Coturnix japonica: one gene and its partners. The protein of the gene in region 2 purifies or fractionates together with the protein of the main gene of each other region. This does not show direct contact. Links are inferred from orthologs where the notes say so. Each region holds a gene or a part of one and is shown on either strand. Other genes may lie near its edges. The genes, in order: RAP1GDS1, RHOC and DAAM1.

Evidence for each region.
Region 1: the proteins of RHOC (region 2) and RAP1GDS1 purify together in Homo sapiens (co-immunoprecipitation; 3 studies listed by BioGRID and IntAct, counting the BioPlex papers as one, with this or other methods). This does not show direct contact. The link is inferred for Coturnix japonica from reciprocal best matches to the Homo sapiens genes RHOC and RAP1GDS1.
Region 3: the proteins of RHOC (region 2) and DAAM1 purify together in Homo sapiens (affinity purification with mass spectrometry; 3 studies listed by BioGRID and IntAct, counting the BioPlex papers as one, with this or other methods). This does not show direct contact. The link is inferred for Coturnix japonica from reciprocal best matches to the Homo sapiens genes RHOC and DAAM1.

Annotation. Positions count from the first base shown.
Region 1 is NC_029519.1:53,753,780-53,757,426, forward strand, and holds part of RAP1GDS1 (rap1 GTPase-GDP dissociation stimulator 1), read left to right. Parts: intron 1-735; coding exon 736-861; intron 862-3,589; coding exon 3,590-3,647. UniProt on the Homo sapiens protein: Acts as a GEF (guanine nucleotide exchange factor) for the Rho family of small GTP-binding proteins (G proteins) that stimulates the dissociation of GDP to enable subsequent binding of GTP.
Region 2 is NC_029541.1:3,630,905-3,634,651, forward strand, and holds the start of RHOC (rho-related GTP-binding protein RhoC), read right to left. Parts: upstream 2,894-3,747; 5' UTR 2,768-2,893; intron 193-2,767; exon of another isoform or gene 174-192; intron 84-173; exon of another isoform or gene 65-83; intron 1-64. UniProt on the Homo sapiens protein: Regulates a signal transduction pathway linking plasma membrane receptors to the assembly of focal adhesions and actin stress fibers.
Region 3 is NC_029520.1:49,921,277-49,925,023, forward strand, and holds the start of DAAM1 (disheveled-associated activator of morphogenesis 1), read right to left. Parts: upstream 2,567-3,747; 5' UTR 2,457-2,566; intron 1-2,456. UniProt on the Homo sapiens protein: Binds to disheveled (Dvl) and Rho, and mediates Wnt-induced Dvl-Rho complex formation. May play a role as a scaffolding protein to recruit Rho-GDP and Rho-GEF, thereby enhancing Rho-GTP formation. Can direct nucleation and elongation of new actin filaments.

The DNA of each region.
Region 1 (3,647 bases), on a different chromosome or scaffold from region 2:
TACATTAAAATAATCTCTAACCATCCCCTAGAGCGTTAGCAAAGGTGCTGGAAGATTTAATTACAGATGGCCCTCAGGAGGTGGCAACTGGAGAACACAGAACACCAGTCCCACCATCTGCATCCCCTGTAAAACTGCCAGTTAGGAGGAATCAGATACAGGCAATAGAATCAGATGCTTCTGTTGGCACCACAGCACATAAAAAACCACAGTCCAATGGGTAACCCTCCTTGTGGCCACCTTGGCCAGCTGTAAAGCTGCGTTATGATATCTGTGCAGTATGAAACAGCCTTGCAACAGCCAGGCACAGATTTTAAAGGAAATGTCACCATCACAAGACCACGTAAACACTAAAGCTTTCTCCAAGGGAAAATACAGTATATGATCTGTTAGTCTTCCTCTTTAGCTGAGGATAATAAAATACCATCTTTATTTTTGTCATGTTACTGTTTCTATAGCTACCTTTACATTCTCTTGGGCAGAAACAGCCTCAACAGCCTCAATCATGTACACAGGTCTTTTTGAACAGCCTTATTCATAATTGAAGGCAGTACATTTGCTCTAAAGCATTAGACTATTTCATTCCATTTTGTGACAAACATGATTCTATTGTTCTTGCCTGTGAAGTGCACTATTAGTCATCTCACTGAGTAAATCTGGTAAAAAAGAGAGAGAAAAAGTCATCCTAGCTTTTGATTTGGTTTGTTTACTTGATACGGAAGTTTTGCTTTGCAGAGTCAAGCAAAGAGCAGTTTGCCTACACAAACATTGCTGAAGAGCTTGTGAAACTGTTCAAGAAGCAAGTAGAGCATGATAAAAAAGAGATGATCTTTGAAGTTTTGGCTCCCCTCGCAGAAAATGGTGAGCGTTTGATTATTTACTTTTTTTTTTTTTTTTTACCCTACGGTATTTTTTATATAAAATAATATAATAAAGGAATGGATATGTTTGTCTCTTTCGGGGACTAACAGCAGAGCAATTGGCTGCCTTGTTTGGCAGTCCCCAGGGGTGTATGATGACAGTTTCAGATGAAGCGAATGTTTTAACTGTCTGAATACATGACAGGAGCCTACAAATTGCTGATGCTGATTCCACCTCTGATTCATTCTGTATGCTATATTTTATTTCCTCCTACCTGCAGTGGGAATATCAAAAGCAGATTTTCTTTCTTTCCTACAGAATAGTTTTTGACATTTATCTACAGAGCACTGTGAATATCAGAGATGCCCATCAGAGCTGTTGTAGGACTGTTACTCTCACTTCAGCATTGTATTCTTATCCTATGAGCACGATCTATTTGCTTTACAAGTTGTGTTTTAAAATCAGTATAGTTTACTATTGATTGTTACTTCTCTGTAGTAGCCAGCAAGTCTCTTTTTGAAATACAGAGAACTCCATTTTCTCCTGAAAGCTCACAAGAGGCTGGCACAGTTCTATAGGCCCTGAGGAGCAAGAGAATACACGCAACCATTGGCTGAAGTGTTCATAGTCTATTGCAGCACCAATAAATCAGTCACTACATCACTTACTGGGACCTCAGAACCCTCTCCCAACAGTTTAATTTCCTATGGAAATATTTTTGCAAGGAACACGTTAATTGCAGAGCTAGGAGGACATTCTCTTCTTACTTTTCATTCGGAAATCATTTACTTTGAGTTTGGTGTAATATATTAGCACCAGCCTCAGGAGACTGAAGTTTCTAGTCTAGCCTGAGCAGTGAATGAGTGATGGGTGAGGACCACCCCTCCAGCATGTTCCTCTGGAAAGACTCACAGCAGTTTGTATAACCTTCTATCTGCCCTTAAGGGAAACCAAAATATCAATTAACAGCTCAGGGTGTGAAAGATAGAACAGTATTTGATGGCTCTATACTTTGTTTTCATCACCTCAGCATTAAAACTTGCTGAAATTGAATGCATTCTTAGAAGATAATTGTAGACTCAGAAGATTCAAGTTTCATCCTATTCTTCCCAGTATAAATCAAGACACATTTTGTCTTCAATTTAGAGTTATGATAATGTCTATTTTTGGCAGTTCCTTTGTCTTTCATTGCAAGTTATATGTGAAACAGGATTTCTCTTTTCAGTTCTGAAAACATGCATTTTGCCAAAATATATTCATTTATTATATAATTACTAGAAGCTGCTCTAAGAAGTTCAGCCCTTCAAGACTGACACAGAATTAGCCTAACATTCTGTGACTTTGACATATTTCATTTCAAATGCTTAATTTTTGTCTGCTTTACAGTCACAGTAAACTTTCATAGGTTTACTGCTGCTGAACATAACTCAGCTGCTTGCACTATGTGGCAGTCAACGGAACTCTTCCACTGTGAGGCCAAGGCATACCTAAATGAGCATGAGTCCACTGTGCTAGTGCTGCTAGGTGCTTTTGATTATAGATCATTGGCCATCAGCCATGAGGCAAAACCATCTAGATGAGCTACTGGAATAGATTATTTGCATTCCTAAGAGAGTCCATGAGAAGGTCAGCTGCTCTGGGAGAAACAATTTCGCTCAGGCACAAAAGCTGAGCAACAGCAGTAAATGGATAAGAGGTGCCTGATCCTTCAACAGAGAAGTTGGGACATTTTTTCTCACCCAACTCTATTTTAACTTGAGCTAAGCTCCTTACACCACCTCATGCAGAAAACATCCAAACAAATGGCTGTTACTTACATTTCTGCAGACCTTTGAGACTGTGCTCTCCAAAATCAGGATGCAAAACTAATAGAATCACTTTCACGTAACAAAAAGAGGTGACACAGCATCAGGTGATTTGCCATTCCAACGTAACAGGAAGGGAATTTGTGTGTGTAAAGAAGGAGATATCCAGCTCTAAATTCACAGGGGAAAAAAAATAAATAATAATGCATTAAATATTGTGTTCTAGAGACAGAAAAATTATTGCTTCCAAATCCTATATTGCTACCTAAACAACCCATTCATCACCTTCTCCATTGAGCCTCATTTCTAATAAGCAAGGAATGAGCTCGCCTCAGCAGTTTCCAACTTTTCTTTGATCACAATAAATTTGTCTCCCAACCCAGCCTGCTGGATTTGGCCTTTCTTTACTCCTGAAGCCCTTGGAACAAGTGACAGAAATCTTGGCTCAACTGAAAGAAATGGGTCATTACTTGCTCTGAAATTTCATTTTTAATAAAATCTGTATTTTATACTTGCAGTGGCTCTTCTGTACACAAAACAGAAGATGCACCCTTAGGTTTGTTCTGCAACTCAGTCCAAATTCTTTGGAGAGCCCAAGCACAGCAAGGCCCTTATGAGCTCATGCTGTGCGAGGACTGAAATGCCAGATAATTTCTGCAAAGTAATTTGCTCATTTTTCAGAATAGCAGCAACACGCTGCTTCACAGTGCATAGATGTGGTCTAAGGGTGGTCCAGAGCTGAGGGTGCACACCTGCTACATGACTTTTGATGGAAGTTGACCTTAAGAATGCACAGTTATTTTGGTTACACAAGTTGTCAGTGAAACACTTGACATTGCTAGTCTTTGGCTGTCCTGCATGGAGGTTCAATGGATGTATTTTAAATTATAATGCTGGCTCCTACTCTCCATGCTGTTTCACAGATGTCATTAAACTGCAGCTGGTTGAAGCAGGATTGGTGGAGTGCTTACTTGAGGTTGT
Region 2 (3,747 bases):
GCTGCAGCCCACTGCAATCCACTGGTGGGGCCCCAGAGCTGCCGGGGGCTGCATCCATCCTAACCTGGGGAGGGGTCAGCATCACCCTGAGCCCTGCCCAAGGCTGCAGTGACTCACAGGGCAGAGGCCCTGTCCCCGCCCAAAATCTCAGCACAATTCATTCCATTACTCACCCAGCAGCCCAGAAATAGCCCATTGCTAACACACAGCCAGCCTCCAAACAGCAGGGAGGAGGTGGGGAGTAGTGCAGCCACGGTGCCCCTCAGGCTGCCCTATCCCTGTGGGCACCCAGAGTGGCACCAAGTAGCTATTCTAAGGTCACCACCAGTAACACAGCAAGGGCTCTGGCACAGCTGCTTCAGGAGGAGCTCAGCTTCAGGCTGAGCTTCGTGCCTCAAAAACTGAAATTCCTGCTGAGCAGGAAATGGGGAATTCCTGGTAGGATGCATCTTTCACCCAGTTTCTGTTCCTGAACCTCAGGAAATGGCACAAAATGACGTCAGTGCTTTGAAGAAGGGATCGGTCCAGGGACAGAAACCTTCCCGCTGGCCTCTCCTCCTGAGACCCCATCCCCAAAGCCCATCACACCAGCCCTGACCCCACAGCACTGCACATCTATGGGGGGCAAACAGATCTCCAAGGAGAGCAGCCGTCTCCATCTGCCTGGTATTGCTGTGTCTGCAGCCTCTGCTGAACCTCAGTGTTTAACAAACAAGCGTCCTGGGCACTCAGACTGTTTGGATTTACTCCTGTTTGGAAGGAGCTGGGCTAATCACAGCACAAACCAGGCTCAAGGCTAGAACATCACCATGCAGTTCGCTGGGTTTCACTCCCTCAGGCGCTCAGGCAGCACAACCTGTGACACAGAGGAGACCTAAGGAATCCTGCAGCACCCAAAGAGCACGAAACCCCAGCAGGGAACACAAACGGCGCTTTCCAACCAGTGCAGCCAAGGACAGCAGTCTCCACTTCTAAACATGGCTTTGTGTGTTCAAAGGGCTGCAGCCGCACCCCAACGCACGCCAGGCAGGGTCATATCGGGACAGGCCCTGGGGGAGGTGCAGCCCAGGGTGGGCACGGAGCATCCCTGGAGTGCTTCAGGGCTGCAGCTGAGCCCAGAGTTAAAGGGAAGGTATTTGGGGACAGTGACAGAGGCACATTGCAATCATCACGACTCCAGCAGAAAGTCCCACGGCACAGGATGAGTTCCTGGCAAGGTTCAGGAATGGGGGGAGCCTCAGAAGCAGAACAAGATTCCAAAAACAGCTGGGAAGGAGCAGTGACACCAAGGCACAGCACAGCAGCAAGGAAGTTCAGGCTTTGGGGTCCCGGTTGCGAAAGCTTGGAGCTGTTCCTAAGGTCTGATCAGACACACTGTGCTACACCAAGCAACAACACAGCAGCGGATCAGGGCTGCTCTGCAGACAAGGGGCAGAGCAGGCAGTTTTCATTGCCAAATCCCACAAAAACATCCACAAGCAAAGCAAAGAAAGGGATTTGGAGCAGAAGAATGTTAAAACCCAAACTGGGCTTGAGCTGGGAGCACTCTGTGGGAAAACACGTGGCATTGCTGCCCAGCAAACCCAGAGCTGCACACCCCGCAGTGCTGGTGCTCACTGGGCAGATACTGTGAAACCAACACATGATACCAACCCTGACCGGCGCTTGGAGTCTTACTGTAACCCATTTAAATGTCTTCTGTTTCAGGATGACATCCAAGGCAGCAAAAACATCACATGTGCACAAAGCCTCTTAGACTGAAACTCACAGCTCTGGCTTCAGGACTGCAGCCACAGCCTCCTACTTTTACACATCACTGGGCTAAAGAAGAGATGCCAACAGTTTATACACGGTCAATGAACCAGCAAGGCTCCTCAAGTGCTGTATTTCAGCTGGATACACTGAGAACTCAGCCTGCTGCAGCACTACTGCTGCCTCAGGAGCCCCACGCTGTCCCCACCTCCTCCATCCACCACGTTCTTATCTTCCATCCCACAGAAGCACCTTCCCCAGCTGTAGCAGCACCAGTATCTGCCAGATGACACTCCCAGGCCAGGCAGGTGGTTGTGTTTGTGCCTCACAGCTGATCCCTATTTGCAAACACATTCCGGACTTCCCATGTTCACACACAGCCCCATCCTGGCACATGCTCTGAGCTGCCAAGCGAGCCAGGTTAAGCACACCCAATATCCACTGGCATCATCCCAATAGCTACCTATGAAACGTTTCCCTGGACAAGCCGAAGCTGTCAGGAGTCAATTTAAAGCACATAAAATCTCACGCAGCTGTAACCGTGCTAGAGAGGACCATAGATTCAAGGCAAGGCGCTGGGAAGGAGGAAATGGGAGCGCAGACGGCCTTATAGTGTCGGGGGGGATCGGGCGGTCGCTGCCCGATTTGGTGCTGGAGCGCCGGGGTTGCTCATGGTTCTGGAATGCTTTTCTGCTCTGAGACATTGCACAATTGTTTCTGCTCCTCCGTCTGCCCCCCTTGTATAAATGTTTACAAATGAGCTCAGCTCTAAGCAAAGCGAACTTTTATCCTTTCACGAAGAAAATACAGCGCTGCTGTATCGGAGGCGGCTCCGTGCGGGACGGCTCCAACCCCTCTTCGCCTCCGGGACCCGGCCCGACCGGGACCGCACGCAGCACCGCCCCATGGCGCACCGCTACGCGCTCAGTCCCATCATAACCCCGCAAGCCCCCAATAGCGATCCCCGCACCCCTTGAGCTCCCCGCAGCGCCCGCATCCCGAGCACAACCCGTACCTCTCTAGGGCACGGCACGGCACGGCACGGCACGGCTCCCTCTCCCGGTCCCGATGCCGGCTCCAACCCCAGCCCCACAGCCCGGCTCCGGCAGCACCGCCCCGTTTTGGGGCCGCCCGCTGAGGGGCGGAGCTGAACCGAACCGAGCCGAGCCGTGGTGTGCCGGGGGCTCCACTCCCAGCCCAGCTCCTGCCCCGCCCTGGCAGCGGGGTTACGTCGGAGCCCAGGCCATGCCCTGTAAGTCGTTTCTATTTTAAGATTTCGGAGACGCGTTCTCCTTAATTTATCCCTCCCCGGGCCAGCAGCTGGCTCCAAAGGAAACGTTTCTTTAGTAAAGAAGGGAACCGCAGAGGAAGCGCTAAATTCAGCCTCTGCCCGCTATGCCCCTCCCCGGCCGGCAGCCGTGGGGGCACCGGGCAGCGCAGCCCCAACCCCGCAGCCCCGGGTGGGAGCAACGCAAGGGAGGAGGGACAGCGGCTCACATGGCACCCAACCTGCCTACACGAATTAATCAGCGCTAATTGGCTTTGAAGTTAGTCGTCTTTGCGGGAGCTCCGCAAGAAAGGCGCTGAGGTGGAACTGCGAGCGGCACGAGCTTTATTGAACCACACAAGGGCAGCTCCTTCAACCCCAGCATCATCCCCCTGCGACACAGAGATGCACAATGATGCACACAGGTACAAATGTCACGGGATAACTTTCACTCCCCACTAAGTGCACCCAGTTTATTTACGTCTCGCTTTGTGCTTTGCAGGGTGCAACACTGCAGAGGTGCAGGAAACTCATCATCCCCCAGGTGAGAGGTATAGCAGATGCAGGATACTGCAGAGAAAACAACTGCAGCTACAGCCCTGCCCAGAACCAGCTCCGAGTCTGGGGAAAAACCAGCCCACCCTATTTCCCAGCCACAACCAAGCTGCTTTTATTGCAGGCTTCCAACCCCCAGCTAAGCAGATTCATGCAGCATTTTAAGCTGTTAA
Region 3 (3,747 bases), on a different chromosome or scaffold from region 2:
TGCAGGCTGAAGCATCAAGACCAAATCCCACTCAATTACAGCAGAACAAGCACGCCCTGCTCTGCACGAGCCTCACCACTCAATCCGCAGCAGCCTTCTGAAGCCAAGCTGAGATATTTGATCAGCAGCATCGAGTCAGAAAGCAAAGCACCCAACAAAATCCTCGTTTGTGAGAGAAGGCTGCAGAAATCCCGTAGAGCAGGCTTTGGCAATCTCTGAAGCTGACAGCTGGATGCCCTTGCTTATCTACTGCTGAAGCATGCACAAAAAAGCCCCGAATGCTTGCAGTGCCGCGCGAGCCTTCCAGGCAGCCCCGCCAGGCTCTTAAAAAGACCCATATAAATAGCGAGCCTCATTTATTAATACTTCAGAGATAAAAGCAGCCGTGCAGCAGCAGCTCGGCATAGATCGACACAGAAGACCACCCGCCCTACGTGGTGTATCTGCCTGCATCACCAGCAGCTACCTTTGGGTTGTAAATGCAGTAGGTGTGTTGCTTTTTGTGCCACCCAGCAATCAGGGTCAGTGCAAGGGCTGCTCCCTTAGGATCATAGAATCATTCCAGTTGGAAATGAGGTCCCCAGGCCCACCCCCACCATGCCCAATGACCATGTCTATCAGTACCACATCGTTATGGTTGTTGAGCACCTCCAAGGGCAGTGACCCCACCACCTCCATGGGCAGCCTGAGATCAAGTGGGATCCCCCAAAACAACTCTTCTACTCAAAGAAAGCTGCTGGCTGCTGCTTAGCTAAAGGAGTTGTTGCACTGACACTTGCCTGGCACGCTGCTGCCTGCCCCCTGCACTGCATTTCAGTGGCACTGAGGCTGGCAGTACAGCAGTGCCAATGGCAGAGGTGTGGAGACCATGGAATGGAAGGAGGGGACCTGGGGACAGCAGGTACATGACACCCACACAGGAGTGCATGACGCAGCTCAGGAGATGGGCAAGAAGCCAAAACAAAGAACAGAAGCAGGAGGAGATAACCATGACCCGGTCCTAGCGGCCACCCCATCTAGAGCCCTTCCTGCTGTCTCCCAAAAACAAAGGGTCAGATAAGGCGCTGGCTCAGGTCAGGACTGGTCTGACTCCACTTCCAGCCCAGGGCAGCAGATTTGGCACTGCTCTTACACCTCATCCATCCTGTTTTCCTGCTCGGGGCAGAGGCCAGGCAGCAAAGCAGCCAGCCCCAAACACCACAGGGCCGCACGCAGTGACCCGGCCGGAGGATGATGAGAAGGAAGAGGAGGATGAAGAGGAGGAAGCTTCCCTGTTTCCTGCTGCCCTTCGTTCTCACCTTGCTCCATCAGAGATCCTGGACTTTGGCTCTTGCTCCCTGCACACAGGAGGCTGTAGGCCACACTGGGCTGGCCCCAAGGACCCGAGTCACTTATTAACCAAGGGGGTGTCAGCAGGGAAAGGAGGCCAATGGCAATGGGGCCTGCAGGACCCTACAGACAGGGGACACTGAGTGCTTCAGGATGCCCATGGCTGGGCTGAGGGAGTTAAACCAGGCGGTGTCACAGCTCACAGAGGTGGCCTCAGCAGATAATGCAGCTGGGTTCTGTGTGCAGTATCAGGACCAGCCTCTAGAGAGGGAAGAAAGCCTCATCTGTGCAGCAGAGAGAAGCTGCTGGTGGCAAGGCATTGAGATCTGCAGCAACCAGGCTGCATGAACCCAGCAGGGCTCCGGCACCGGGACGCAGCACCTTCCCACCACCTCCAGGTCCCATAGCAGTGGGGCAGGCACACACTGCTCAGCTTTAGCCGGGAGGACTCCAGCTTGGCTTTGCCTTCCATTAACCTTGATGCAAAAGCAATGCAAAAAGCCCCTTCCACACGAGCATGCAAAGCAGCACAGCCCCCACGGGTGGAACCAAGCACAAACACCATTCAGCCAGCTGTCCCCACGGGGAGACCAGTGAGGGCATCGTCCTCATCCATTGCACCACTGACCCCATTCTCGCAAACACGGTGCCACATCCAACCTGCTGCTCTACGGCTGCTGCCCCACAGCCCCACCCCACCCTCCGACACAGCCATCCCCACCACGAGACACCCCACAACCCCGCTCCCACATCGCGGCGCGGACCCTCACCCCACCAAAGCCGGCAGCGCGGGGCAGGGACCCCCGGCACTCCCATCCCCCCCCGGGGGCACGGGCTCCATCCAACCCAACGGGGCGGCGTTGCCATGGCGAAGGCAGCGCCGCATCCCGCAGCCCCCACCGCCCCGCTCCCACCGCCGCGGCCCCGCCCGAGCCCCGCTCCCCGGAGCCCGCAGCGCCGATACGAGACCCCACAGCCGGGATCCTCGGGGGGAGGGATGGGAAGGAGGGGGGGGGGGTGTACGGTACGGCCCCGGGGAGCGCCGGGATACGTGGGGAGCCTCAACCGCCGCTGAACCGAGAAAGCGGCCCCGATCCCCCGCCCAGCGGCACGACGCGGTCACTCACCGAGCGGAGCCGACACCGACCCGGTACCTGCCGGCGCTGCGCCGAGCGGAGCCCGCCCGGCCCCTGCCCACAATGGGCCGCGGCCGCCCCGCCCCGCCCCGCCCCGCGCCGCCGCAACGACCGCCCCGAGAGATGGCGTCATGCAACACGCCCCCACGGCACGGAGCCGACGGGAGTTGTAGTGTACGGCCATGCGGGAGGGGTGAGCGCTGTGCGGGGAGGAATGTCTTCACGGCGAGGGTAGGCAAACTCCATCCCATCCCATCCCATCCCATCCCATCCCATCCCATCCCATCCCACTCTATTCTATGCCATCCCACTCTGTTCCACCCCGTCTCGTTTCATCCCATTCAGCCCCATCCATCCCTTTTCATCCCATTCCATCCTATCCTACCCTATCCCCTCTCCTCTCATCTCACCCCATCCCATCTCATCCTATCCCATCCCGTCCCATCCCATCCCATCCCATCCCATCCCATCCCATCCCATCCATTTCATCCTATCCCATTTCATCCAATTATATCCCACTCTGTTCCAACCCATACCATCTCACTCAATTCCACTCCACTTCATCTTATCCCATGCCATCCCACACTGTTCCATCCTGTCCTGTTTCATCCCATTCAACCCCATCCCATCCTATTTCATCCCATATCATTCCATCCTATCCTATCCTATCCTATCCTATCCTATCCTATCCTATCCTATCCTATCCTATCCTATCCTATCCTATCCTATCCTATTTCATCCCACCCCACCCTGTTCCATCTCATCCCATTTCATCCCATCCCATCCCATCCCATCCCATCCCATCCCATCCCATCCCATCCTACCCTATTCTATCCCACCCCACCCTGTTCCATCCCATCTCACCTCACTCCATTCCATTCCGCTGCATCCTATTCCATCCCATCTTGTCTCACCCCACTCCATCCCTTCCCTTCTCCTTCCCCACCAGCAGATGAGCACTGCAGATAAGGCGACACAGATGATGACAGGCACACAAGATCCATACCCCAGCTGCTTTCACAGTGCATAATAACATCGTCCCAAGCAGCACAGTCCACTGTCTGCCAGCTGGGAACTCATAAATCACTTTTCCAAAGGTTCCTGCATGGCACTGCCATCACCTCTCTGCAGGATCATGCTGTGCATTCCCACTGCCTTCACGCCAAGGGATTTGCTATTGCTTTTGGTGCAAATCAAAACTCCAGATTGAATTAACGGTGTGTAACACTATAGCTCAAGTAAATATTTCTTTCCTGGATAAGAAGTCAAACTATTTGTACAT